Linked DNA regions of Oryctolagus cuniculus. The protein of the gene in region 4 purifies or fractionates together with the protein of the main gene of each other region. This does not show direct contact. Links are inferred from orthologs where the notes say so. Each region holds a gene or a part of one and is shown on either strand. Other genes may lie near its edges. The genes, in order: HDAC1, ZNF687, CHD4, ZMYND8, MTA3, MTA1 and MTA2.

Region 1 (3,500 bases), on a different chromosome or scaffold from region 4:
CTTTCAAATAAATAAGTAAATCATAAAAAAAAAAGGGGGGGGGGAGAAAGACAACAGGTCTAGCATTAGGGAAGAGAGATGATACTAGGTTTTTCCTTTAAAAGTTTATGATAGGGGCTGGCACCATGGCACAGTGGGTAAAGCTGCTGTCTGTGGAGCCGTCATCCCATATGGGCGCCAGTTCAATCCACTTTTTTTTTTTTTTTTTTTTTGACAGGCAGTTAGACAGTGAGAGAGAGACAAAGAGAAAGGTCTTCCTTCTGTTGGTTACTCCCCAAATGGCCGTTATGGCCGGCGTGCTGCGCCGATCCAAAGCCAGGAGCCAGGTGCTTCTTCCTGGTCTCCCATGTGGGTGCAGGGCCCAAGCACTTGGGCCATCCTCCCCTGCACTCCTGGGCCACAGCAGAGAGCTGGACTGGAAGAGGAGCAACCGAGGACAGAACCCAGGGTACTGGTGCCGCAGGTGGAGGATTAGCCTAGTGAGCCGCAGCGCCGGCCTCAATCCACTTCTGATCCAGCTCCCAGCTAATGCGCTTGGGAAAGCAGGATGGGTAGCCCAAGTGTTTGGGCCCCTGCACCCATGTGGGAGACCAGGAAGAAGCTCTTGGCTCCTGGCTTCAGACTGGCTTAGCTACGCTGTTGCAGCCATTCGGAGGTAAACCAATGGATAGAAGATCTCTCTCTCTCTCTGTCTCTCCCTCTCTCTGTCCATAACTCTGCCTTTCTGTCTTTCAAATAAATGAATAAATCTTAAAAAAAAAAAAAAGTTTATAAGAACACCACAGGGAAATTCACCTCCCATAAGGAAGTTACTACTGGTTGCTTCCCAAAGAGCCATCCTGTTCCTTCTTCCTTGGTAACAAAATGTACCCAGCCCTAGGAATAGAATCATGATTAGCCTAGGCCAGCTCTGGTAATTCTATCCGTCTACACTGGTGAGTGGTCTCAGGAATGAGATGATGGGAGGTAAGGGGGAGTGTATTGGGAAGCTCCTGGGGAGTTTTTCTCCTTGATAGAAAGAGCTAGGCGGCTCCCCAGAGTTCCTGAAAACCTCTGCTGCCTTGTATGCTTTCTTCCCCACCTGTTCTTCACACCTGATAAAGCACTGTGGTCCCAAGGTCTGCTCGCCCTGTCTACCTTCCCCAGTTGGCTCCACCAGCTCCAGAGACACGACAAAGCCATCTGGGACAGAAGACTCATCTCCTTTCAGTCTCTGGAATGGTGAGAAGGATGCTGCTGTTGCTAGGTTACTCAAACTGTCAGTACAGCCTTTAACAGCAGGCACCACGCCATAAAGCAACATGGGCCCCCAGCCCCTCTTTATTTTCTCACTTGGACTCTAGCAACAGGCTCCTAAGTGGCCTACCTGCTTGTAAAATACATGCCTATCTATTCTTATATCTTTTATTTAAAACCTTTCACTTTTCCCCCACCACCTCCAGAACAGATTAAATTGGGAACCACCGAACCACATTTGGTCCGCACGTGTATTGATGTGTTTTATATACAAACATTTAAAACAAAAACCCTGTGCCAACATTTTAAACCGAGGAGGTTTTGCATACTAATTTGGATTTCCAGCTTCTTAAAATCTGGAAGACCAGGTAGAATCAAGTGGAGCTGAGACTGGTGGTTAGACAGAAGCCTACACTCTCTCGTAACCACAGACTTGGCAACTTGTCCAACACGATCCCCAGTCACTCCTTTTTTAGCCACTGGATTTCCGACCCTGGCCTACAAGAGTGGTTTAGCACAGCACATCCAACGCTGGCTGACCTCTCCAGCTCTACGCCCTGCCTCACGTCTGTGAATTCACATTGTATCCCTACACATAAAAACGGATTTTTCGGCCGGCGCCGCGGCTCACTAGGCTAATCCTCCGCCTAGCGGCGCCGGCACACCGGGTTCTAGTCCCGGTTGGGGCGCCGGATTCTGTCCCGGTTGCCCCTCTTCCAGGCCAGCCCTCTGCTGTGGCCCGGGAGTGCAGTGGAGGATGGCCCAGGTGCTTGGGCCCTGCACCCCATGGGAGACCAGGAAAAGCACCTGGCTCCTGGCTCCTGCCATCGGATCAGCACGGTGCGCCGGCCACATCGCGCTGGCCGCGGCGGCCATTGGAGGGTGAACCAACGGCAAAGGAAGACCTTTCTCTCTGTCTCTCTCTCTCACTGTCCACTCTGCCTGTCAAAAAAAACAAAACAAAAAAAAAAAAAAAAAAAACGGATTTTTCCTCAAATACCTCAGCCTTTTTGCATATATAATATGCATATGCATATACTGCATATATTCTTCCCCCTACCAGTCCCCTCCTGAACTCAAGGATAATTTTTTGTAAGATTTATTTATTTATTTCAAAGTCAGAGCTCTTCCATCTGCTGGTTCACCCCCCAGATGGCTGCAATGGCCAGGGCTGGGCCAGGCTGAAGCCAGGAGCCAGGAGCTTCATCTGGGTCTCCTACTTGATGGCAGGGACTCAAGCACTTGGGCCATGTTTAGCTGCTTTTCTCAGGACATTAGCAGGGAGCTGGGTCAGAAGTGGAGCAGGGGCCGGCACCGTGGCATAGCAGGTAAAGCTGCCGCCTGCAGTGCCAGCATCCATATGGGATGCTGGTTCAAGTCCCGGCTGCTCCATTTTCAATCCATCTGTCTGCTATGGCCTGGAAAGCAGTAGAAGATAGACCCAAGTGCTTGGGCCCTTGAAACCACATGGGAGACCCAGAAGAAGCTCCAGGCTTCTGGCTTCAGATTGGCCCAGCTCCAGCCATTGCAGCCATTTTGGGAGTGATCCAAAAGACAGAAGACCTCTCTCTGTCTCTCTCTGTCTCTGTCTCTCTCTGTCTCTGTAACTCTACCTTTCAAATAAATAAGTAAATCTTAAAAATAAATAAACAAACAAGTAGAGCAGCCAAGACATGAACCAGCACCCATATGGGATGCCAGCTTGGCAGGGAGTGGCTTTACCCACTACACAACACCAGCCCCTCCAGGCTAAATTCTATTCAATCTTTAAAATTTCTCATATATCACTTCCTAGAATCAATTCAAGCCCCCTTTCCTCCTTCCTTCCTCATTATCTCTGCATCTTGCACATTTTCTAAACTGTTGCTCTTACACACTGCAGTATGATTTATTTATATGGGGGTCTCCTGCAGCTGGGAATTGAATACAAGTGCTCCGAAGTGGAACACAAGCATCTTAACTGATAGGCCAATGCCCACATTTGCTTAATGAGTGCATGGTTTAGAAAATCAGATAGTAAATGGCATTTGGGGGACCAGAGCTGATGAGGTAACAGAGGGGAACACTCGCAGTAAGTAACTCACATAGATTTCCATTTTCCGGTAGAGACCATAGTTGAGCAGCAAGTTGTGAGTCATGCGGATCCGGTGAGGCTTCATTGGATGGCCTTGTCCATAGTAGTAATTCCCAACATCACCTGAAGAACAGGGAGAGTTCTGATGACCGTTAGACACATACTCCCAGGAGAACCCAGGAATTTTTAC
Region 2 (2,813 bases), on a different chromosome or scaffold from region 4:
GTCTTTAAGTGTCCGTCTTGTCCTCTGCTCTTTGCTCAAAAAAGGACCATGCTGGAACATCTCAAGGTACAAGGGTGGGGTGAGGGCCCTGGACCAGCCGACTTGGACTAGGGCCCCACAACCCTCGGTGGGGGAGGGGGCCGGCAAAGGCAGGCCTGCCCCCACAGCAGCCCTCCCCCTTGTCTGCCTCCTACAGAACACTCATCAGTCTGGGCGCGTGGGGGAGGAGACTGCAGGGAAAGGGACTGGGGGTGCCCCTCTGACCCCCAAGACTGAGCCTGAGGAGCTGGCCGTGTCTCAGGGAGGGGCGGCTGCCGCCACCGCCACTGCTGCTACCGAGGAGTCGTCTTCATCTTCCGAAGAGGAGGAACCGCCTAGCTCCCCCGAGCCCCCCCGCTCGACCAAGCGGCCCCGGCGGGAGCTAGGGGGCAAAGGCATCAAGGGCGGGGGCGGGGGGCCCGGAGGCTGGACCTGCGGCCTGTGTCACTCCTGGTTCCCTGAGCGGGACGAGTACGTGGCGCACATGAAGAAGGAGCATGGCAAGGTGAGTGGGCGGGTGGCGAGGTGGGCCGGAGGGCGGCTTTGGGATGGGCCAGGCACTGAGGGGCCCCCCTGCTCTCCTAGTCGGTGAAGAAGTTTCCCTGCCGCCTGTGTGAGCGCTCCTTCTGCTCTGCCCCCAGCCTGAGGCGTCATGTCAGGGTCAACCACGAGGGCATCAAGAGAGTTTATCCTTGCAGGTACCCCCTGCCCAGCCCCAGCCCTGCCCCTCACCCCTGAAGTACCCCCTCAGTCGCCTCTGGTTGAAGCAGACTTCAATTTGAGACCTCCCTCTGCTCCGGTGGCTCCTTCCTCAGGAGCCGTGGGACCTGACTGCGTGCGGGCTGTGCCCGCTGCCACCCTGCTCACTCTTGGCCTTCCAGGTATTGCACAGAGGGAAAGCGCACCTTCAGCAGCCGCCTGATCCTGGAGAAGCACGTCCAGGTCCGGCACGGCTTGCAGCTCGGGGCCCAGTCCCCTGGCCGAGGGAATGCCTTGGCCCGGGGCCCTGGTGCCAGAGCCCAGGTAGGCAGAGGCTTGGCCTGCTCTTAGGGACTCGGAGGTGGGAGACCACAGGGACAGTGCGGGTGATGGTGAGGCCGTCTCTCCTGCTCTTCCCCAGGGGCCGGGACGGAAACGCCGCCCGTCTTCGGACTCGTGCAGTGAGGAGCCTGACAGCACAACACCTCCGGCCAAGTCCCCCAGGGGTGGCCCTGGGTCAGGAGACCATGGCCCCCTGCGCTACCGGAGCAGTGGCTCAACGGAACAGAGCCTCCTGGTGGGGTTGAGGGTGGACGGCGGTGCCCAGCAGTGCCTCGACTGCGGCCTGTGCTTCGCCTCCCCTGGCTCCCTGAGCCGGCACCGGTTCATCAGCCACAAGAAGAGACGGGGTGTGGGTAGAGCCAGTGCCCTGGGGCTGGGGGATGGGGAGGAAGAGGCCCCCCCTCCGGCGAGGTCTGACCCAGAGGGTGGAGACTCACCCCTGGCTGCCTCTGGAGGCCCGCTGACCTGCAAGGTCTGCGGCAAGAGCTGCGACAGCCCGCTCAACCTCAAGACCCATTTCCGCACACATGGCATGGCCTTCATCAGGGCACGGCAGGGGGGCAGTGGGGACAACTAAGCCCCGAGCCTGGGACTAGTCAGCCCCTCCGTCTTTCCCAGGAGCCTGGGTTTCACTGCTGCTGCCTCTTGGTCCCTGGACTGGGATGTTTCATTAACATTCACATTTTGTTCATTTCCTCTCCCCTGGAGAAAGCTTTTGAGGATTATAGTTGTTTGCAAAGCCCCCCTCTCCCGCACACCCCTTGGGGTTCGGCCCACAGGTCCTAGTAGAGTGGCCCTCCATTCCTCCCTTCTGAACCCGACACTAATTCTGCTCCTGCTGCAGATGCCCAGTGTGGAACTGGAGCTGGGCGGCTGGGACTGCGGTGCATCTGCTGACAGGCACAGGGAGGACCCAGGGGAGGGCTGTCAGGGGACTCCCAGGCATGGACTGTAGCCTTCCTTCTCTGGGCCAGGCCCGGCCCCAGCACCCTCCCCCGCGCCTGGCACTCAAGCCCCCCACTCCTGCAGTGCCTTTCACTTGTCTTTTTTTTTCCCCCGCAGAAATTCCAGGGAGGGGGGTCGGTGGGGATGAGTCCTGTCGGGGGGGCCCAGGGAGAGGAGGGGACAGGCTCTCAGGAATCCTTTATTCTTGTAGTAATAATAATACTAACAGTGGGAGAAAACAGGAGGGAGAGAACCAGACCATTAAAACTGCTCGTGGTTTAATCCCCATTCAGTCTCCTCTTTTTGTGACTTGGACAATGTGGACTGGCCAGGGGGGGCTGCGAGTGAGAACTGGGGAGGCCCTTTTCCGGGAAGAGGTGGCTCTGGCCAGGACAGCCAGGGAAAAGGAGTCCCCCTCCCGGGTGTGGTGCCTTTTGTCTCCTGGACGCCAGGGCATCTGTTCACTCATTACCCTCCTGCCCCAAAAGACCCAACTTGGATGACACAGATGGCTAACTAAGGACTTTATTTCAAACAAGAGTTAAAAATAAAAAATTGAGAGCCATTTCCCTGGGTGTGGGGAAGGGACCAGGGTAAGGAACCACAGCTAGGCCGATACCCTCAATACGCTGGGGGGTTGTGGTGATTCCCTTCCTCACCCCCGCTTCGGGGCAGCTCAGCAAGTGCGGGACCCCACAGCAGAGCCGCTGTGAAAGAGCTCGGCCTGGGGTCAGTCCCTGGGAGGGGACAGAGTTGGGCAGCAGCATGGCCAAAGGCCAACCACAGGA
Region 3 (4,034 bases), on a different chromosome or scaffold from region 4:
CAGAGATTTGGGAAAGGGGCAGGAATGGGGTGTGGCAAGTGGAAAAACTGGGTCATGCTGCAGCTTGGGGCAGAGTTCACCCTGGAAGCCTGCACAACTGCTAGCAATTTGGGGGACAGTCCCAGACCAAGGGCCCAATGGGAGGCCAAGATGCAGAACCAACCGTGGCCAGACAGCACCACTACTCCTCCCAGCACAGAAAAGATAGGCTCTCCTCACCTCGCTGCCACCCACCCCCAGCGCCCAGCCCCCACCCTGGGCAAAGGCAAACCCCGCTCTGCACAGCAATGAACCTCAAGCCTAAGTTTCTGACCCAATACCGGGAAACCCAGTAACAAGACTGACCCCTCTCCTAAATGACCTGCTCGATGTGAAGAATTCCAACTCAGAAAATGCCAGATACGAAAGCATCTCTCCCGGACCACCTCAACTTCCAGCTGCAGCTGAGAGAGAAGGCAGAAGTGGAAAACGATTGATGGGAAATAAAACAGGACCAGTGGGCTCCACAGTCAGAAAAGTAGAAGCAGAGAGGATGAAACATGGCCCTCAAGGGAAAAAAGAGGTCAAGAAAACAAGCAGGTGCATTAGATAGGGGCTCTGAGAGGACGAGGGAGACAGCGCCGAGGTCCATGACATCAGCCCTCATCTGAGGGCAGAGAAGGGCTATTCCAATTGGGCAGGCTGGTTATAACCATACGGGTTTGGCCAGTTCACGGAGCCACCCCAAAACACAGATAGCGCAACCCCTAACACACCCACACAAACATTAGACACTGCCAGCACAAACCCCAGGCTACATCACAGGCAAAAAGCAGCCTCTAGGGAAAAAAGCCAGCCTCATGGCCACTGGGCAGAGAAGAGAGGGGCCCTAACTCCTCCTGCCCCCTCATGGGAGGCTCCTCAGGCTACTAAATCCCCCCCCAAGGCCCCATCACAGCCCCACTCAAAACATTCCAGCAATTTGCCAGAAGCACTGTAGATCCTGCTAGGGAGCGAGATTCAAACTTCACACAGTTGAAACAGCACAGAAAACCGGTAACTGATCAGAAGCTAAAAATAATCAGATAGCAAGCAACCAACACTCCCTCTGTCTTTCCCACAGCAGTGACCACAGGCTCCTCCGACTGCACCCTCCAACGCCTCCACTACCCCCAAAGAGCCCCCCCCCCCCGCAGGGTCCCAGCGACCTGCGGTGCTCCCCAGACCCACGCAAGGGAACGCCTGCCAGTCGGGAGAGCTCCCTCAGCCGGGAACTGCACGGCATTCCTCCAGACAAGCGGGTGCAGCAAGCTCGCATCTGGGCCCGTGGTGCCCGGGAGGCGCATGGCTGCCACCCCCCTCACACAAGAGCTCCTCAAAGGGAACCACTCCCTTCGGATGCCCTTCCACCTCGGGCTCTGCACAGCCAGCCACAACGCCCTGCCTTCGCAGTCACTAGGGAGGGCACAAAGGCCTCCTTCCTGCCCCCGGGCCCCTGGGAAGGTGTTACCTGGGTGGGGTGGGGGCAGGCTGTTGTTCAAAAGTGCATCCATATCCTCCTCCTCACTGCCCGCTGAGCAGGGGGACGGTGAGCCCAGGCCCGACGCCATCCCCTTCCGCTGCTCCCGGCCAGGGAATCGGCCCAGCTGCTCCTGCCTGCGGCCTGGGGCCCTCTACACTGGCCCGAGTCACTGTGCGGGGGAGGGGGGAGAAAGAGAACAGTCAGTGACGCGCACCGGCCCCCTCCCCCACCCCCACCCGTTCTTTCCGCCACCCCCCCAACCCCAGCCACCCCGGCAGGGCACCCGAACCACTCAGGCTGAACTTAGTTCCACACTCCTCGGGGGCAGCCCGGAAGCCGGCGCCCCAACAAGCGCCCCCGCGAAGAGAGGCAGCGACGCCCCCGAGGACAGACTGGTGCAGGCGTGGGGAGGGGAGCAGCCGGCCCGGCCCAAGCAGGGTGTGACGGGGGAGGGGGTCCGAGTGACCGCGGCGCGGGCTGGGGGGGCGGCGAGGCGGCCGGCGGCGAGGCGCTCGGGGACACAAGGTCACTTGGGGGTGGGGGGGCGCCTCCCTGCGCCCTGGGAGGGGCCAGTTCCCAGACAGGGCAGCTCTCCAAGGGCTGTCCTCTGGGACAACTCAGGTTCTGCTCCGGAGCCGCGGGGACCAGGGGGGCGTGGAGGCTCGGGTGCGCCGGGGGGTGGGGGGGTCCGGAGGCAGGGACGTGGGGGGCAGGAGAGCGCCCACCCGGAAGGGGGCCGGGCCACGTGTCCCGGGGGGCAAGTGAGCAAAGGGCGAGGGGGCGGGCGCCGGGCATTGTGGGAGACCCAGCCCGAGCCGGGGGTCGCGGGGAGCGGGGCGGGGGTGGGGGGAAGCCAGGCACCCTGCAGGGAAGGGAAGGGAAGAGTCGGCCCCTCAGGGCAGGGGGCGGTCCGCGGGTCTGAGGAGCCCGAGGAAGGAGCGGCTGAGGGGATGGCTCTCGGGGTTTGTCGGGCTGAGGGGAGCGTCCCTGCGGAAAACCGGCACTCTCCTCACCCTCGAGCCGCCGCAGGTCGTGCTGGGTCCGGCCGGTTGTCACTCCCGCTCCGGCTCCTCCTCGCCGCGGCCGAAGGGGGGAAAATGGCTCCGGCTCCGGCGTCGCCTCTTAAAGGGCCCGAAACACCGGCCGGGAAATCCCACCGCACAGGCCCCGCCCCCCCACGGACAGCCCATAATAACCTCAACCAACTCCAACCCCCCCTCCACTACCGCCACCCTCCTCCCTAGGTCTCCCGGGCAACCCCCGCCCCCTCGTCGCTCAGGCAACCATTGGCCACGCCCCCTCAGAGCGCGCGAGCGCGCGCGCGTCACCCGGGCAACCGCCCACCTCCTGGCCATCCCATAATACACACGGACACCCCACATACACTCACACACACCGATTTCCCCCCCACACTCCTTATACATATATGCGGTGGGGGGGCGGCTGACATAATACTACCGGCCTTTTGCAACTAACCCTCTCCTCTCTCTGACATCCCATAATAACCATCCTTTGCCAACTTCTTCACTCTTGGCTCTAATGCTAACATCCCATAATAATTCATCACCTCTCCCTCCCCAGGGCCATCCCATAATAAGCACCCCTCCCAGTACTTCAGCCTCATATCCCATAATACTCATCCCCACCCCCCCACAGACATCCCATAATAACCACCCTTCATCCACCCCCAGCTTGATATCCCATAATAATCAGAAACTCACCCCCCACACACACATACTACAACGGACACTCGGCCTCCTCCCACACACATCCCATAATAATCAGTCTCCCACTTTCTATACTGACATCCCATAATAACCAACCCCCTAGAGCTGCCCTCAGTCCCAGAAGGCTAGGGTCTAGAATGCTTACAACTCCACGCCCAGCCTTCATGCTCTCCTTCTAGCTCCACTCCCCCCCTGTCAAAAAGATATCCCATAATGATCAGCAGCCCCACTGTCACCCCCCCAGATGAACATCTAACCTTTCCTAACACTGCAAAAACATCCCATAATAATTTTACTCCCCCACCCACACCCTGACATCCCATAATTTCAAGGAACCTGTGGTCAAGCAGACATACCATAATACTCCCAGCACAACCCAGTGTCACATCCCATAATGCTCCATCTCCACTCAGCCAGGCATCCCATAATACTCCTGTGCCTACCTCCCCCACCTGCAGAAGCTGTCAGTCTGTTCTAACACCCAGAGCTGGGAGAGACAGGCTACCCACACTGCCCTGTACCCGCCCCCACTTGCACACACCTTATTCCCTTCCTCGGCCAGAGCAGTATCCTGGCATAAACAGTTTCTTGATGTCTAGATGTCTAAGACCCTATTTTCCCTCATCCGGTCATTTCCAGACACTCAGCAGCTGAGCACCACCAACCTAGGGCTCCACCCCAGTCTCACCAAAATCCAAGTATTTTCCAGATGTTTACTTCCAGCTCATAGTTTTGAGTAAGACTAACCAGATACCATGCTGATCAGATGAAACATTTACATAAAGTTTAATTTGCCCCAGAACACC
Region 4 (3,500 bases):
CATCTGTCTGTCTCCACGTGGGCCCCGGAAGCCCCTGAGCGACGGCAGTGCACAAGGTCGCCTCCCCCAGCACAGCCATCTCGGCCAGAGACGCTGCAGTTGTGGCCGGGAGGGACCTGAGCTTTAGATGGTGGCCTGGGCCTGCAGCGGGAGACTGTTAGAATTTGTCGGAATTTTAAAAGCAGATTTTCCATTGCATGTGATAGTAGGTTTGTGTGCTTAGAATTAAAAGTCTCCGTTGTGAAGACTTTGTGAGCGGTCCGGGTGGCCCTCTGTTTCTGTGGGTCCCAGCCTGGGACAGAAAATGTTCCAAGAAAGAAATAGCATTTGTAGGGATGTGAGCGTACCCCACCCCCAACACCCCATGTCCATACTCGCCAAACGATGCACTGCGACTCTGTTTCTGTAGCGTTTCCATCGTATTGGGATGTTACAGGGGTCTGGTGTGCAGGAGGCATGTGCAGATGCCGCGCAAATACTTTGCCGTTGCATGGAAGGGGCTTGCGCGTCCGTGGGCTCTGGGACGTGTCACGGGGCCCTGCGCACCGAGAGCTGACGTGTGGTATCAGTCATACGAGCTCGCGTCAGGCAACCCCTGCAGAGGTGATTTGTGGATGACTCGGGTTTGAGAGGCTGGAGACCAGGGATTGGCAGCCATTCTCGGGGAAGGCCCCCGTGAATATTTTGGGCTTTGGGGACTGTGTGGCCCCCATCACCGCTGGTCACCCCTGCCCTGGCAGCCCAGAAGCAGCCACCGACAGCCTGGGCACGGGTGGGCGTGGCTGCAGCCAGCAGAACTGTTTCCGGATTTCTCTGATTCTTGCTCTCGACAGACCTCTGGGATTTTGTCAAGGGCAGTACAGGAGCGCACTGCTGTGTGCCTTTTATTTTTATTTTTTTAAAGATTTGTTTATTTGAAAGGCAAAGTGAGCTGTAACCTTCCCTAGGGACCTGGCTTCCCTGCAGCGACTTGCAGTCCCCCCTGCTGTGGTGGCCAGTTGTCCCTGAGTTCTCCAGCGCGCCCGAGCAGCCCCTCGCTGTGTCCCTGTTGGCCCAGATGGCCTTGGTTATTCCACTTTTGAGGCACGGGACACCTGCTCTCTGCAGATCTCCCTCCGGCGCCCTGTGCTTGCCCAGGGTCCTGCCTCTGCTCTGCTCCTCCCAAGCATTGCTTTCCCACCTGGGGCTAAGGCAGGTCTGAACCTAGAATGAGACCCCTCTGGTCACACACTGCCTCCAGCTAGGGGCACTCTGTCATTGCCGGGTGGTTTAATAAAACGTGGGATGCACACTGTTCGGAATTGCCCCAGCTCTGGACACCTCTGGGGAGCCCCCCACTTCGGGCCTGCCCTCCTGCTCCAGTCCCAGGCTGGGCTGGGCGGGCGGCAGCTGCCTTTGCAGACGGGGTGGGGTCAGAGTTGGTGCTGGGCCGCGGGCCGCGTGGGCTGGAGCAGGGCTCCACGCAGGGCCCCAGTCCGCCATACTCAGTCCCCGTGTGGCTCCTCTCTTCTTCCTCCCAGCTACTGCCCCGCAGCAGGAAGCTGACGCCGAGGTGAACACGGAAACCGTCAGCAAGTCAACCCAGGGGAGCTCCGCCAGCACCCAGGCGGCCGCCCCGGAGACGCCCAGCACCCCCAAAGAGAAGGAGGCGTCCGCCGAGAAGAGCAAAGACAGCAGCTCGGTGAGGGCCCTGGCCTTGGGCCCGTGACCCCAGCTCTCCCCCCCCACCCCGGCCATGCCTGCCAGCCCTGGAAGCCTCGTGCTTGTCCGTCTGGGGCAGTGATGGAGTTGTGTGTGTGTGTGTGTGTGTGTGTGTGTTTAATTATTAGAGGGGAGAGGAGACAGGTCTTCCATCTGCTGGTTCACTCCCCAGATGGCCGCAACAGCCTTAGTCATGAGCCAAGGCTGTTTCAGGGCGAGCACTGATCATCTTTCCCACGTTTATCCTTTTGCATTTATTTCTTGGCGTTAGGAATGAATGAATCACTGGGCTGTCAGTAAAGCCCTTTGGTTTCTTTGCTAGCCCTGCCCGTGAGGCTCCATCATGGAACACGTCTGTGGTGTGATGTGGAAGTCAGCGGCTTCTTCCTTGGGAATGGGGAAGGTCTGGAGAATGGGAAGGTGGGGAATGTTCTAGATCAGAGACCCTCAGGGTGCTCCCCGTCTGTGCTCTCGACCGTTCCTTCACGCTGGGGGCAGAGCACGAGGTGCGTGACCACGCCAGGCCCGGGCGCTGGGTCGCCTCGGGGTGGTGTGAGTGCCCCCAGCGGCCCGCTGGCCCCGCGGCCTGGGTCCATCCTTCTCTCTCTGTGTTTCCAGACCCTCGACCTTTCTGGCTCCAGAGACACACCCTCCTCCATTCTCCTAGGCACCAACCAAGGCACAGGTAGGTCATTCCCCGCCGCTGACCGTGGGCACCGGGCACTGTGCGCCACGGAGGGACAGGGTTGATGGCAGCGGTTTTCCTACTGCTCCAGGTCCTGCGAGATGCCACGGGTGGGTCGGGGGCAGCTGGGCGAGTCAGCCTTCAGGCAGGTCCCTGGGCCCATCGGCGTCGGCCGGCCGCACGTGGTGCATTTACTGTGGACCACCGGGAGCTTTGTCTGTGCGGAAGGCTCCGGGTTCACTCTGGCATGTGCTTGGCCCCAGGCTGTCCCTCTGCCCGCAGGGACGTGGCCCAGCTGTCAGTGGGGCTTCCCTGAGGTCCCAGCACCCGCGTTGGGTCCAGCTGGGTGCCTGGGCAGAGGCTGCTTTGCTGTAACAGCCTCTCTTCGCGGGTCACTTCCTAGGCTGGGCTGTCCAGGGCGGTTTTCGGAGACGTCTGGATTCCTTTTGTTCTGTTGGGCCGTCCTCCCTTCCCGGCCAGGCGGGGCTTTCTCCAGCTTGGGTCCGTCCTACAGGGGTCATCTCACTGTCGCCTCCGCTCCAGCATCTTGTCCTGTGAGGATGCGCTCCAGGTGGACCCCTGGAGCCCCCGGTCCTCTGTGTCCTGGGTGTCAGAGGAAGAACCCTGGGGCTGGGGGAGGTGTGCCAGGGTGGACGTCAGGTCAGCAGGTGTGGGGGGGCCCTGGAGCTGGCATTCGGTACCACCGCACCACCCGTTAGAGGTGCCGCTCGCCCACTTCCCTCCAGCCCTCTCGGAGGCTGTGGAGTCGCGGCGTCTCATGCTGTCTCCCGAGCGCAGACCTGCCATGGGGCCTCTGTGGAGCTTAATCCTGCACCTGTTGTCTGTGTTGATGTACAGTTCACCTTGTTTGTGGCAAGCTTTATCCATCTCCTTTTTGGTGGTAGTGATAAATAGTTAACCCTGCACCAGGCAGTTGTGGGAGGGCAGGTGGGTCACAGAGGGGTGGGGTGGGTGATGCCTGGGAGGTGTGGGGTCTGTTGGAATTGGGGGTCACACATAGGAAGGTGTCAGGAGAGGCGTCGTAGTCCATTTCTGAGGTCAGCAAGGGGTACCTAGACCAGGGGTCGGCAAGCAACATACAGACGGGGGAGAC
Region 5 (3,500 bases), on a different chromosome or scaffold from region 4:
AACCAAAAGGGGGGAAAAACACAGAGAAAGAGAGGGAAAGAGAGGATGGTCGGAAGCACAACACATGAGGTTAAGAATTTAAAAACGTCTTACATTCTGCCCTAATGGCAGCATAATTAATAGCAACAAATGGCCGTCTTGCTGCCTGCCGCAACCGGAGAGTGTTTTTGCAGACCTGACGTGCAAACTTTGTGAAATACGTAGTATGAAGGAAGAAAGCTTGGCGCGTCTTCACTGCGGACTTGGGACTGCCAGTGTTCCGGACTGGCATGCCCTGTGTGGCCTGGCGGGACATGTGACTTCTGACGCGGGGGTCCTGCCAAGTCAGAAACCAACAAACGTTAGCAGAGCTCGGCAAAGACATTACTGTTTACATCATGCTCTAAAAACAGCACAATTTTCAAAGCTCCCGCCACAGTTTCTGTAACTTACTATTCCACCCCTATGAGACAGAATTGGAAAGTGTGCACACTGGGGAAGGAGGTGGGGAGCAGAGAAGGGAATGGGGTTGGGGGTACAATTCTGTACTTTTGTGCAACAAACCAAAATCACATGTTGCCAAGGGAGCGAGGCTTGCTTAGTTTTGTTTTCTAATATCAAGGAGTGCTGAGACTCTGTGAGCATTGGACAACAACAGGTGCCCTCTGGTAGACACAGGCTTAACATCTTCAATCCAGAAGGATTTTATAAAGTCATGCATCAACTATTGTTGATAAACTGAGTCCATTTCTTATTGTCCCTCCACAATAGACCAGGGAGGAAGAAAATGCTTAATTTACATTTATTACTTTATGTAATAAGACATGCTTAATAGTATCTAAAGATTACACACTGTTTTCAAAAGCAGTTAAAATAAACATTTAATTTGTAAACTCTCGGGTTGTGTTGACACCTCCCACATACAGTATTCTTTTGTCTGAGTAATCTCCCAAGACCATTATTTTGAATCCCTGGGGAGAAAATTATTTTTTCCTGCTCTTCTTTCCACACCCACCCTGAATATAGTAGTGCTATGTTCAGTTATGAAAACAGCTTTGCTCATTATGACATTATCCTGTATTTTATTTCTGCTTCCAGGGAATGATCTGATCACTGAAAAGCATGACATTTTCAACACTAGAACCCACTGCTGCTCGTGTACCTCTGAGGTTGGGCTGGGAGATAGCTTCTCTTCTTCTGACTGGGTGGGCATTTTCAGGCCTCCATATTTTTTCCAATAAAGCCAACAAGTTGCACACAATCTACACTGCATGTTAGGTGGGCCCCAAGAATACCACTGGTGAGACTGTGTAGCTACAGATGAGAGAAAAGTAAGAGGAAAAAAAAAAAGGATGCCATGTAATTTGTAACATCAGTATAAATATAATCAAATATTTCAAAAACATCCCAAAGCCATTTTCAGTTTATAGGATTATTTTTCTTCCCCTAACTTATAAGCCAAGTATGAAAGTACAACACATACACATGTATCTTTCATTAAATCATTTATCCTTATTATAAATCAAGCACTTGTGGCGCATATTAAGAGAGGCTATTAGGGGCCGCTGCTGTGGCATAGTGGGTATGTACAGTATCTAAGTATCAGCACCGGTTCAAGTCATGACTGCTCCACTTCCAATCCAGCTCCCTATGAATGCGCCTGGGAAAGCGGCAGAAGATGGCCCAAGTCCTTGGGCCCCTGCACCCATGTGGAATATTCAGGCTCCTGGCTTCGGACCAGCCTAGCTCTAGCCATTGCAGCCATTTGGGGAGTGAACCAGCAGGTGAAAGACCTCTCTCTCTCTCTCTCTCTCTCTCTCTCTGCTTTTGCCTCTCTTTAACTCTGCCTTTCAAATAAATAAATAAATAAATCTTAAAAAAAAAAAAAAAAAGGGGGGGGCCGGTGCTGTGGTGCAGCGGGTTAACACCCTGGCCTGAAGCACCGGCATCCCATATGGACACCGGCTCTAGTCCCAGCTGTTCCACTTCTATTCCAGCTCTCTGCTGTGCCCTGGGAAAGCAGCAGACGATGGCCCAAATCCTTGGGCCCCTGCACCCACGTGGGAGCTCCAGAAGAAGTTCCTGGCTCCTGGGTTTGGATCGGCGCAGCTCCGGCCGTTGCAGCCAATAGGGGAGTGAACCAGTGGGTAGAAGCCCTCTCTGTCTCAACCTCTCTCTGTAACTCTGTCTTTCAAATAAATAAAATAATCTTAGAGAGAGAGAGAGAGAGAGAGAGAGACTATTAGGTGAGGGATCCTATATTTTACATTGTGCCTCTGAGGGAGTTTTTTTTGTTTCACTAATTCAAATATTTTTTGGTGTACATTTCTGGAATAAGTTCTCAGAAAGATAATGTGTTTATTACTAGTGCTTAAAACCTAAGTCACAGTTTATAAGCCTACGGTTCATAAACCATGCTTGGGTTTATTTAAGGTACTCAGAAAGGCCCCACTAAGAAGGTTAGGAACCTAACAGAAACAGGTCTCTGTTTTCCAACCCTTTATTTTAATCAATAGATAAAATCCTTATGTTATGATTTCTCCTTCTAAAAACAGATTCTTGTTCAAAACTATAAATCTGTATCAAATGAGTACACACAACATGATTTTAAGACCCAAACATGTTGACTTATCACATGGCTGAACAACACTGCAAGTCTGTGTAAATTTTATCTTGCAATTTAAATTATGCCATGTTAACATTTAAGAAACCTGTATATCCAGGATGGATATGAAGTTTAAGACAGAAAACATTGATGTTTCAACATTAGGTCGAAGAGGAGCAGGAAAATGATTCTAGTGCTATAAATCTGCCTTGGCACATTCTTTTCTGATCTGTAATAAGTCATCTTCTTCAGATCACAATGCTCAAACTGTGTATATTAAGATGCCAACTGCAGGACGGCGCCGCGGCTCACTAGGCTAATCCTCTGCCTACGGCGCTGCTACCCAGAGTTCTAGTCCTGGTTGGGGTGCTGGATTCTGTCCCGGTTGCTCCTCTTCCAGTCCAGCTCTCTGCTGTGGCCCGGGAAGGCAGTGGAGGATGGCCCAGGTCCTTGGGCCCCTGGCTTTGGATCACCGCAGCTCCAGCCGTTGTGGCCATTTGGGGATTGAACCATCGGGTGGAAAAGCTCTCTTTCTGTGTAACTCTAACTTTCAAATAAATAAATAAATCTTTAATAAACAAACAAACAGGGGCCGGCGCCGTGGCTGGCTCACTTGGCTAATCCCCCACCTGTGGCACCGGCATCACATATGGGTTTCGGGTTCTAGTCTTGGTTGCTCCTATCCAGTCCAGCTCTCTGCTGTGGCCCGAGAGGGCAGTGGAGGATGGCCCAAGTGCTTGGGCCCCTGCACCCACATGGGACACCAGGAAGAAGCACCTGGCTCCTGGCTTCGGATTGGTGCAGTGCCGGCCGTAGCGGCCATTTGGGTTGTGAACCAACAGAAGGAAGACCTTTCTCTCTGTCTCTCTCTCTCACTGTCTATAACTCCACCTGTTAAATAAAAAAATAATAATAA
Region 6 (3,500 bases), on a different chromosome or scaffold from region 4:
GCTGATCCGAAGCCAGGAGCCAAGAGCTTCTTCCAGATCTCCCACGTGGATGCAGAGGCCCAAGCACTTGGGCCATCTTCTTTTTTTTTTTTTTTTAAAGATTTATTTATTTGAAAGACAGTTACAGAGAGAGGTAGAGACAGAGAAAAAGGTCTTCCATCCACTGATTCACTCCCCAGATGGCCACAACAGCTGGAGCTGCGGCGATCCGAAGCCAGGAGCCAGGAGCTTCTTCTGGGTCTCCCATGTGGGTGCAGGGGCCCAAGTACCTGGGCCATTTTCTGCTCTCCCAGGCCATAGTAGGGAGCTGAATTGGAAGAGGAGCAGCTGGGATTAGAACCGGCGCCCATATGGGTTGCCAGTGCTTCAGGCCAGGGCATTAACCTGCTGAGCTGCAGCGCTGGCCCCAGGCCATAGCAGAGAGCTGGAACCGGCGCCCACTGGGATGCCGACACAGCAGGTGGCAGCTCTACCTGCTACACCACAGCACTGCCCCCACCTTGTGCACCATTTTTTAAAAAAACCTTTTGTGCTCCACTCTGGTGGCTGGTGTCCAAGCGTTGTAAGGGTGAGCTGAGCCCGGTGGCACAGCAGAAGCGTGGCTGATGGGTTTAGGGCCATCAGAGCTGTGGGTGCTCAGCTCGTGTGGCCCTCATCGCACACAGACGGCGAGGGGCTGGGCTGCTGCGGGTCCCCTTCAGCCTGTGCCTGTCCTGGCACCTGCTTGGCCCACGTGGCCTGGCTGGAGGGCCAGTGCTGTTCAGAGTCGCCTCTGAGGCTTTCCAGGGCCGAGCCGGGCCAAGGTGGGTGGGGTTGGCAGGCTGCTGGGGCGGGGCTCCTGGAGCTGGTGTGACCCCCCCGCCCCTCGTGTTCTGCCCTGGGCCCCGGGCGGGGGGCGAGTCCTTGGTGCATCAGCTCCCTGGGGTTCTCTCCCTGCCGGGGTCCCCGACCCCAGGGGCCTCAAGGTGCCTCGGGGGTCTGCTGCGTGTGTGCTGTGCCCGCCCCTGGGGTCACGCCTGGGGCCTGCAGGAGGGGCGGTGCTCCTGACCTCTGCTTGCTGTTGCAGACGGCCAGCGGGAACGTGGAGGCCAAGGTGGTGTGCTTCTACCGCAGGCGGGACATCTCCAGCACGCTCATCGCCCTGGCCGACAAGCATGCCAGTGAGTCCGGCGGCCCCTGGCCTGGCAGGGAGGGCTGGGGGTCCCAGGGCTCCGCCGCGGCCACGGGAGGCCGCCTTCTGCTTCTTCTGTTCTCTCCTCTCTGTCTGCCCTCGGAGCCCTGGCTGATCACTCGTGAGCTGTCGCCCCGCTGGCCCTTCTGCGCTCACTGAGTCCCTGCTGTCGTGGGCTGGAGCCGGGCTGCTCCTTTTGGGGCCTCCGGAAGGTCCCCAGGCTCCGCCCGTGGCAGGGGGGCCAGGCTCAGCCTGGACTGGACTCACTGGCTCTTTGCATTTGCTGAGAGGGTCCCTCCTGTCGTCCTGAGAGCGGTGTCCCTCTTGGGGTTCATTCTGGTGAGCCCCGAAGGGGCATGGGGAGGCTCCCGCGTGTCACCTGCCACAGGTGCTGGACTGGTGGAGTTGCCCCTGCTGGGGGTGCGTGGCCGGGAGCAGGGCGGCCTGAGGCCCTCGTCTGCGGACCATGCCGCAGGCCACAGCGGGCCTTTCCTGCTGAAGGCTGTCCGGGGCCGCTTGGTTCTGTCACTGGGGTGGGACCTGCGCGTGCCCGGGTGGCCTTGCAGGAGGGTTGGGCAGGGCTTTCTTGGGCGTGGGGTGAGGTGAGGCGCTCCGTGCCGTGGGCCCAGCCGGCGTCTCTGGCGCTGGTTGTGAGTGAGCCTCTGCTGGCGGCTCAGGGAGGAGGTTGTGGGGCTGCTGGGCTCTGTGTCCTGGGCAGGCCCCCAGTGGGGGAAGGGCGGAGCAAGCTCTTGGCCGAGCCCCACAGGCTGCAAGCTTCCGGGGAAGCATCCGTTTGGCCCAGGGCTGGGTCTGGCTTCGTGGAGAGTTGGGCTTGTAGGTGGTCCCCCAGAGGTGGGGAGCCTGAGGAGTGGGGGAAGCCGGACGCTGCCCTTCGTCCCCCAGCCCGTGAGCTGCACGGCCCAGCAGTGTGGCTCCCGGGGCTGGCACAGTGGCTCCTGCTCCTGCCGGGGCCTGTCCCTCCCCATGGGCAGCTGGCCAGGGCTGGGCTAGCCATGGCAGCCTGTGCGTCCTGGTGGGTAGAGGGCCTGGGTGGACTGAGGGTACCGTGGCTCCCCCTGGAAGCTGGTCAGGGCTGGAGGGAGCCCCAGGCCGTGCAGCTCTGGTTGCCAGAGAGGCAGGTTTCCCAGCTGCGGCTGTTTCCTTGGAAAGCTGTCGCAAGAGGCAGGGTCTGTGTAGGACTCTCATCCTGGGCTTGTGGGGGGGGGGGCATGAAGGTTTGAACGGAGATCCTTGACCCCTGCTCAGTGCCCAGCGCAGGCCTCAGGCAGGAGGCCGGACCCCTGCAGGCCTCGTCCCCGATAGCCTCTCGGTCAGGTTGTGGTCGGAGCCTTCCCTCCTCCCTCTGAAGCAAGGCACGGTGACACAGGAGCCCAGGAGAGGGACTGGGCATTCCCATGGCCAGGCAGGACCTGGGGAGGGCTCCTCCCTCCTGAGGCTGTAGTGTGGCTGTTTCCTGGGCTGGTGCTGGGTGTGGGGTCCCAGTCTCCAGTCTGCACCCAGCATGGGGAGGTGGTGTGAGGCTTGCTGGGGGTGTACAGACCCGGGTGCCATCCTTAGCACACTCAGGGGCCCTGGACTGCTGGGATGGGGGCTGCTGTAGCGTGGGGAGGGTCTCAGCAGAGCTCCTGAGTATGGGCCAGGCCTGCCTGGAACAGCCCCAGATTATCCAGATTGATTGAAATGGCAAAAGTCTTGTTTTTCCCTGAGCTGGGCAAGGTGTTAGGACTTCCTGCAGCCACCACTAGGGGCAGCAGAGAGCCATCAGGCTGCACTGATTGGGGAGAGGGACAGAGACATGACCGTGGCCTCCAGAGGGCATTCTGTTGTTTAGTGCAGGGCAGGGGCCAGCAGCCTGGGTGTCCAGGGGCAGGCTCTGGAGGTCTCGCTCCCAGCTGGGGAGGTGGGAGTGTGTACAGGAGGGGTTCTTAGTGACAGCTTGTCAGGGCTCTGCCCGAAGGGGCTGGGGCACTGGGGTGGGCTGGGGCCCACTAGGAGGCCTGTGGCCCCCGTGTCCGCCCTGCCCCCTGGCCACGCAGCCCTGGGTCAGGCCCGGGCAGGGAGAGAGTGGCCGCGGCGCTGACACTGCCGCCTGGGCGCTGTCTGTCTGTTGCATAGCCTTGTCAGTCTGCCATAAAGCCGGACCGGGCGCCGACAGCGGCGAGGAAGGTAAGAGCTGCCCTCTGTGAGGACGCATCCTCGCGCCTGCCCCGGGCGGAACCTGCGCAGGCCGCCTGCATGCAGCCCGGCCCCGAGGGTGTCCTGCAGCTGCAGCGGGCCCTGCTGCGGCCATGCGGGGCCGCCTGGCCAC
Region 7 (3,173 bases), on a different chromosome or scaffold from region 4:
CCACCTGGCTCCCCAACACTGTCAATCACCCCCTGCCAATCAAACCATCATCATATGAACAGCTGCATAATATGGTCTAAAGCTCCCATCAGTATGCATATTGCTGGCCCTTGCCTGTACCCCATCAATCCTTACTGTGGTGCCCCGAGCAGCCCCCTCAAGCTGGGTTGGGGTCTTCAGTCCCCCATACTTCTTCCAGTAGATCCAACAGGAAGCACAGAGCCGGCACTGCATGTTGGGTGGGCCCCAGGCATACCACTGGGCAGACTGTGTGGCTGTAAGGACCCAGAGAGGAGGTCAGGGACAAAACACGCTACCCAAGTCCCTGAGGTTCTTGGGCCACAGCGGGCCACAGCAGGCCTCCCAGCCACCCCCCACACCCTGTCCCCCCTGGAACTCACTGTGGCAGCTCTCACAAGTCAAGCCCTTCTGGAATCCAGCCCCATTCATACCAGGTTTTGAACCCACAGAAATAATCTGGTTAGGGTTTGGCTTAGTGCTAAAGAGGAAAACAGGAGAAAGAGAAATAGTTAAGGAAAAGAATCCATTGCTGCCCTGCCTCCGTAATTTGACCCTGGCTTCTGCCCACCCCAATTACCAAGGAAACACAGCTGGGGAAAGAGAGGGAAACTGCTACCCTGCTCACCACACTTACTAGGTGGGGATGTAGACCTGTTTCAATTTGCTGTCCGCTTCAGCAGCTTTCAATCTTTTCTGTGGAAAGGGAAAAAAGACAAAAAAGAGAAGAATCAGTGCATCTCAACAGGGAGGACACAACAGGTGGCTTCCAGCCCAGCCTCCCAACCCCAGACGATACCTGCTGAATATACCGGTCTGTGGTTTTCCACATATAATAAAATTGGACTATGCTGGCGAGTGACTTCCAGGGTAGCTAAGGAGAGTGAGAGAAGAAAGATGAGCTGACATGTAGCTCCAGGGCCTGGTACATTCATTCATTCCCTTACCTCTCCCACCTCTCTGCCTATACCCATCTACTTACAAAATCCTGGCGAATATCATTGAAATCCTTCCCATACTTCTCAAGGGCCTCCTCAAATAACATGGCCTCAGAGGCAGACCATTCCTCCATCTCATCCCGACACAGCACTGGGCCCCCCTGGGGTACCAGGGTAGACATGGCCTTAGCTAGGTCATAGCCATTCCTTTGCAATGTGTCCATGGCGTGAAACTACAGGGAAGGGGGAAAACAAGGCTCAGGACCTGAAGCCTGGGTACCAGTTCGCGCTGCTCTGTAAGCACTCCCACTCCCTCTGAGACACCCTCCTCCCCTGTCCCCAGGCTCTGCGCATCCCCACAAAACCCCCGCCTGCCCGACTACCCACCAACTGCTGCTCACCAGGGTGATGTCTCGGGAGGCGGCAGCTGCACTCATGTGCAAGCTTGGCTGCCGAATGGAGCTGCTGCAATCCAGCGCTCGTGCAAAGGTCCCCACAGCTCTAAGGGAGAGAGGAGAAGTTAAGACAAAAGAAAAAGAAAAGTCGAATGGGCTGAGGAAATAAGCCAGAAGAAGGAAATCACCCATGCCAAAGATAAAAAAGAGAAATAAAGAACAAGAATTTCTAAGAATGGGTAGGACTCAAAGCCACATACACACTTCCCCCAGCCCATCTGCCCCATCCACCCACCCCTCACCGGGCCACCACGAGAAACTGATCAATCTGCCGGTCTGTGAGAGGGTTGTCCGGGTCCCAGACCTTCATCTCCATCTTCTGTTGGTTCCGATTATCAGATTCCCCTAGGGAAGACAGCAATGGCAGTATGATCAGGACAACGAAAGGGAAAATAACTGGTGTCTTAAAATTCATAATGGCACTTCCTTTCCTCTTCTCCTGCTTGGATTCTATCAGCCACCCCAACTCTCGGATTTCTTGTCCCAGCTGTGCCCATCCTTGCCTTTTAAGTTCCTAAGATCCCTTTCTGTCAGGACCCCTGCAGAGAACCTTGCAGACTGTACTGTATACTCGGCACACCTTTTTGTTTTAAGATTCTATTTATTTACTTAGAAGGCAGAGTGACAGAGAGAGCAAGAGATATTATCTTCCATCTGCTGGTTCACTCGAGTCCCAAATGGTTGCAACAGACAGGTAGGAGCCAGGCAGGAGCCAGGCAGGAGCCAGGAGCCAGGAACTCCATCCTGGTCTCCCACATGAATGGCAGGGGCCCAGGTGCTTGGGTCATCTTCCTCTGCCTTCCCAGGTACATTAGCAGGAAGCTGGACTGGAAGAAGAGCAGCCAGGACTCAAACCTGTACTCTGATAACAGGATGCCAGGTTTGCAAGTGCCAGCCCCTCCAAGGTACCCCATCTGCAGACACTATGGCAACCAAGAGCCCACTGGAGTTAAATAACCAGTAGTCATGCAGTCTCTCTTGTTACTTACCCTCTGCCAGACGATCTGGGATCTCAGCTTGGTATTTGCAACCAACTCTGATTTCCCCCTGATCAGCTAGGAGTGTCTTCTGCACAGGGTCAAACACCAGCGAGTAAAAAAAGCAGTCCTGGAGATGTGGAGACAGAAGGTAAGCAGGGCACCAATCCAGACAGGCGGGGCAATGGAGTACCCTCAGTTCCCAGGACAGGCAGTCTGCCAACCCCATACCTCATCACTGTCCTATTTCCCTCTTGTCTTGTGGGAGCATTACCCTTTCCCTCCCTCTTCTCCGAACGCCTCTTTCTCACCTCCTTTTCCAGGTACTGGCTCAAGATATCTGTTTCGTTCAGGAGGGTTACACTGCACTTCCCCCTAGAGGACAGGGCCAAAAACCTTAGGTGAGTCCTCCTGCTTTCCACGGCGTTTCCAGCACACCACCCTCCTCTCCCTCTCCTAAGAGGTGCACACAGGCCACACTGGGCCCCATCATCCTGTACCGTATGTGGGTAGCTGGCAACGACTCAAACTGCCGTGAGAGGAAAAGCTCCCGGTGCTTCAGCTGATGTCGCTGCTGCTCTGATACCCCAGGCTGCTTAGATTCCTCCTCAAACTCCCCTGCAAGGTTAAGGAGGAAGAAACCAAGTCAAACACAAATCCAGAAAGTCACTACCTAGGGAACTCTTACCCAGGGAAAATATTTCCTGGCTCAGCTGTTTTTCTCACATTCTCCCTGCATCTACCTTCTGTTCTCTTATCCCACCAGCATTTCTCTATGCCCTGTT

Evidence for each region.
Region 1: the proteins of ZMYND8 (region 4) and HDAC1 purify together in Homo sapiens (affinity purification with mass spectrometry; 7 studies listed by BioGRID and IntAct, with this or other methods). This does not show direct contact. The link is inferred for Oryctolagus cuniculus from reciprocal best matches to the Homo sapiens genes ZMYND8 and HDAC1.
Region 2: the proteins of ZMYND8 (region 4) and ZNF687 purify together in Homo sapiens (affinity purification with mass spectrometry; 4 studies listed by BioGRID and IntAct, with this or other methods). This does not show direct contact. The link is inferred for Oryctolagus cuniculus from reciprocal best matches to the Homo sapiens genes ZMYND8 and ZNF687.
Region 3: the proteins of ZMYND8 (region 4) and CHD4 purify together in Homo sapiens (affinity purification with mass spectrometry; 7 studies listed by BioGRID and IntAct, with this or other methods). This does not show direct contact. The link is inferred for Oryctolagus cuniculus from reciprocal best matches to the Homo sapiens genes ZMYND8 and CHD4.
Region 5: the proteins of ZMYND8 (region 4) and MTA3 purify together in Homo sapiens (affinity purification with mass spectrometry, with the first as the bait; 3 studies listed by BioGRID). This does not show direct contact. The link is inferred for Oryctolagus cuniculus from reciprocal best matches to the Homo sapiens genes ZMYND8 and MTA3.
Region 6: the proteins of ZMYND8 (region 4) and MTA1 purify together in Homo sapiens (affinity purification with mass spectrometry; 3 studies listed by BioGRID and IntAct, with this or other methods). This does not show direct contact. The link is inferred for Oryctolagus cuniculus from reciprocal best matches to the Homo sapiens genes ZMYND8 and MTA1.
Region 7: the proteins of ZMYND8 (region 4) and MTA2 purify together in Homo sapiens (affinity purification with mass spectrometry; 3 studies listed by BioGRID and IntAct, with this or other methods). This does not show direct contact. The link is inferred for Oryctolagus cuniculus from reciprocal best matches to the Homo sapiens genes ZMYND8 and MTA2.

Annotation. Positions count from the first base shown.
Region 1 is NC_091438.1:140,171,729-140,175,228, forward strand, and holds part of HDAC1 (histone deacetylase 1), read right to left. Parts: intron 3,434-3,500; coding exon 3,321-3,433; intron 1-3,320. UniProt on the Homo sapiens protein: Histone deacetylase that catalyzes the deacetylation of lysine residues on the N-terminal part of the core histones (H2A, H2B, H3 and H4).
Region 2 is NC_091438.1:46,810,594-46,813,406, reverse strand, and holds the end of ZNF687 (zinc finger protein 687), read left to right. Parts: coding exon 1-66; intron 67-196; coding exon 197-544; intron 545-624; coding exon 625-737; intron 738-920; coding exon 921-1,062; intron 1,063-1,159; coding exon 1,160-1,657; 3' UTR 1,658-2,313; downstream 2,314-2,813. UniProt on the Homo sapiens protein: May be involved in transcriptional regulation.
Region 3 is NC_091440.1:102,900,495-102,904,528, reverse strand, and holds the start of CHD4 (chromodomain-helicase-DNA-binding protein 4), read right to left. Parts: upstream 2,801-4,034; 5' UTR 2,515-2,800; intron 2,030-2,514; exon of another isoform or gene 1,805-2,029; intron 1,671-1,804; 5' UTR 1,590-1,670; coding exon 1,490-1,589; intron 1-1,489. UniProt on the Homo sapiens protein: ATP-dependent chromatin-remodeling factor that binds and distorts nucleosomal DNA. Acts as a component of the histone deacetylase NuRD complex which participates in the remodeling of chromatin.
Region 4 is NC_091442.1:12,527,391-12,530,890, forward strand, and holds part of ZMYND8 (MYND-type zinc finger-containing chromatin reader ZMYND8), read left to right. Parts: intron 1-1,520; coding exon 1,521-1,681; intron 1,682-2,319; coding exon 2,320-2,386; intron 2,387-3,500. UniProt on the Homo sapiens protein: Chromatin reader that recognizes dual histone modifications such as histone H3.1 dimethylated at 'Lys-36' and histone H4 acetylated at 'Lys-16' (H3.1K36me2-H4K16ac) and histone H3 methylated at 'Lys-4' and histone H4 acetylated at 'Lys-14' (H3K4me1-H3K14ac).
Region 5 is NC_091433.1:159,917,043-159,920,542, forward strand, and holds part of MTA3 (metastasis-associated protein MTA3), read right to left. Parts: intron 1,294-3,500; coding exon 1,142-1,293; intron 317-1,141; coding exon 94-316; intron 1-93. UniProt on the Homo sapiens protein: Acts as a component of the histone deacetylase NuRD complex which participates in the remodeling of chromatin.
Region 6 is NC_091451.1:47,286,007-47,289,506, forward strand, and holds part of MTA1 (metastasis-associated protein MTA1), read left to right. Parts: intron 1-1,066; coding exon 1,067-1,160; intron 1,161-3,307; coding exon 3,308-3,358; intron 3,359-3,500. UniProt on the Homo sapiens protein: Transcriptional coregulator which can act as both a transcriptional corepressor and coactivator. Acts as a component of the histone deacetylase NuRD complex which participates in the remodeling of chromatin.
Region 7 is NC_091432.1:8,957,400-8,960,572, reverse strand, and holds part of MTA2 (metastasis-associated protein MTA2), read right to left. Parts: intron 3,007-3,173; coding exon 2,889-3,006; intron 2,764-2,888; coding exon 2,700-2,763; intron 2,519-2,699; coding exon 2,401-2,518; intron 1,757-2,400; coding exon 1,654-1,756; intron 1,458-1,653; coding exon 1,358-1,457; intron 1,190-1,357; coding exon 1,001-1,189; intron 893-1,000; coding exon 818-892; intron 715-817; coding exon 656-714; intron 500-655; coding exon 402-499; intron 276-401; coding exon 136-275; intron 1-135. UniProt on the Homo sapiens protein: May function as a transcriptional coregulator. Acts as a component of the histone deacetylase NuRD complex which participates in the remodeling of chromatin.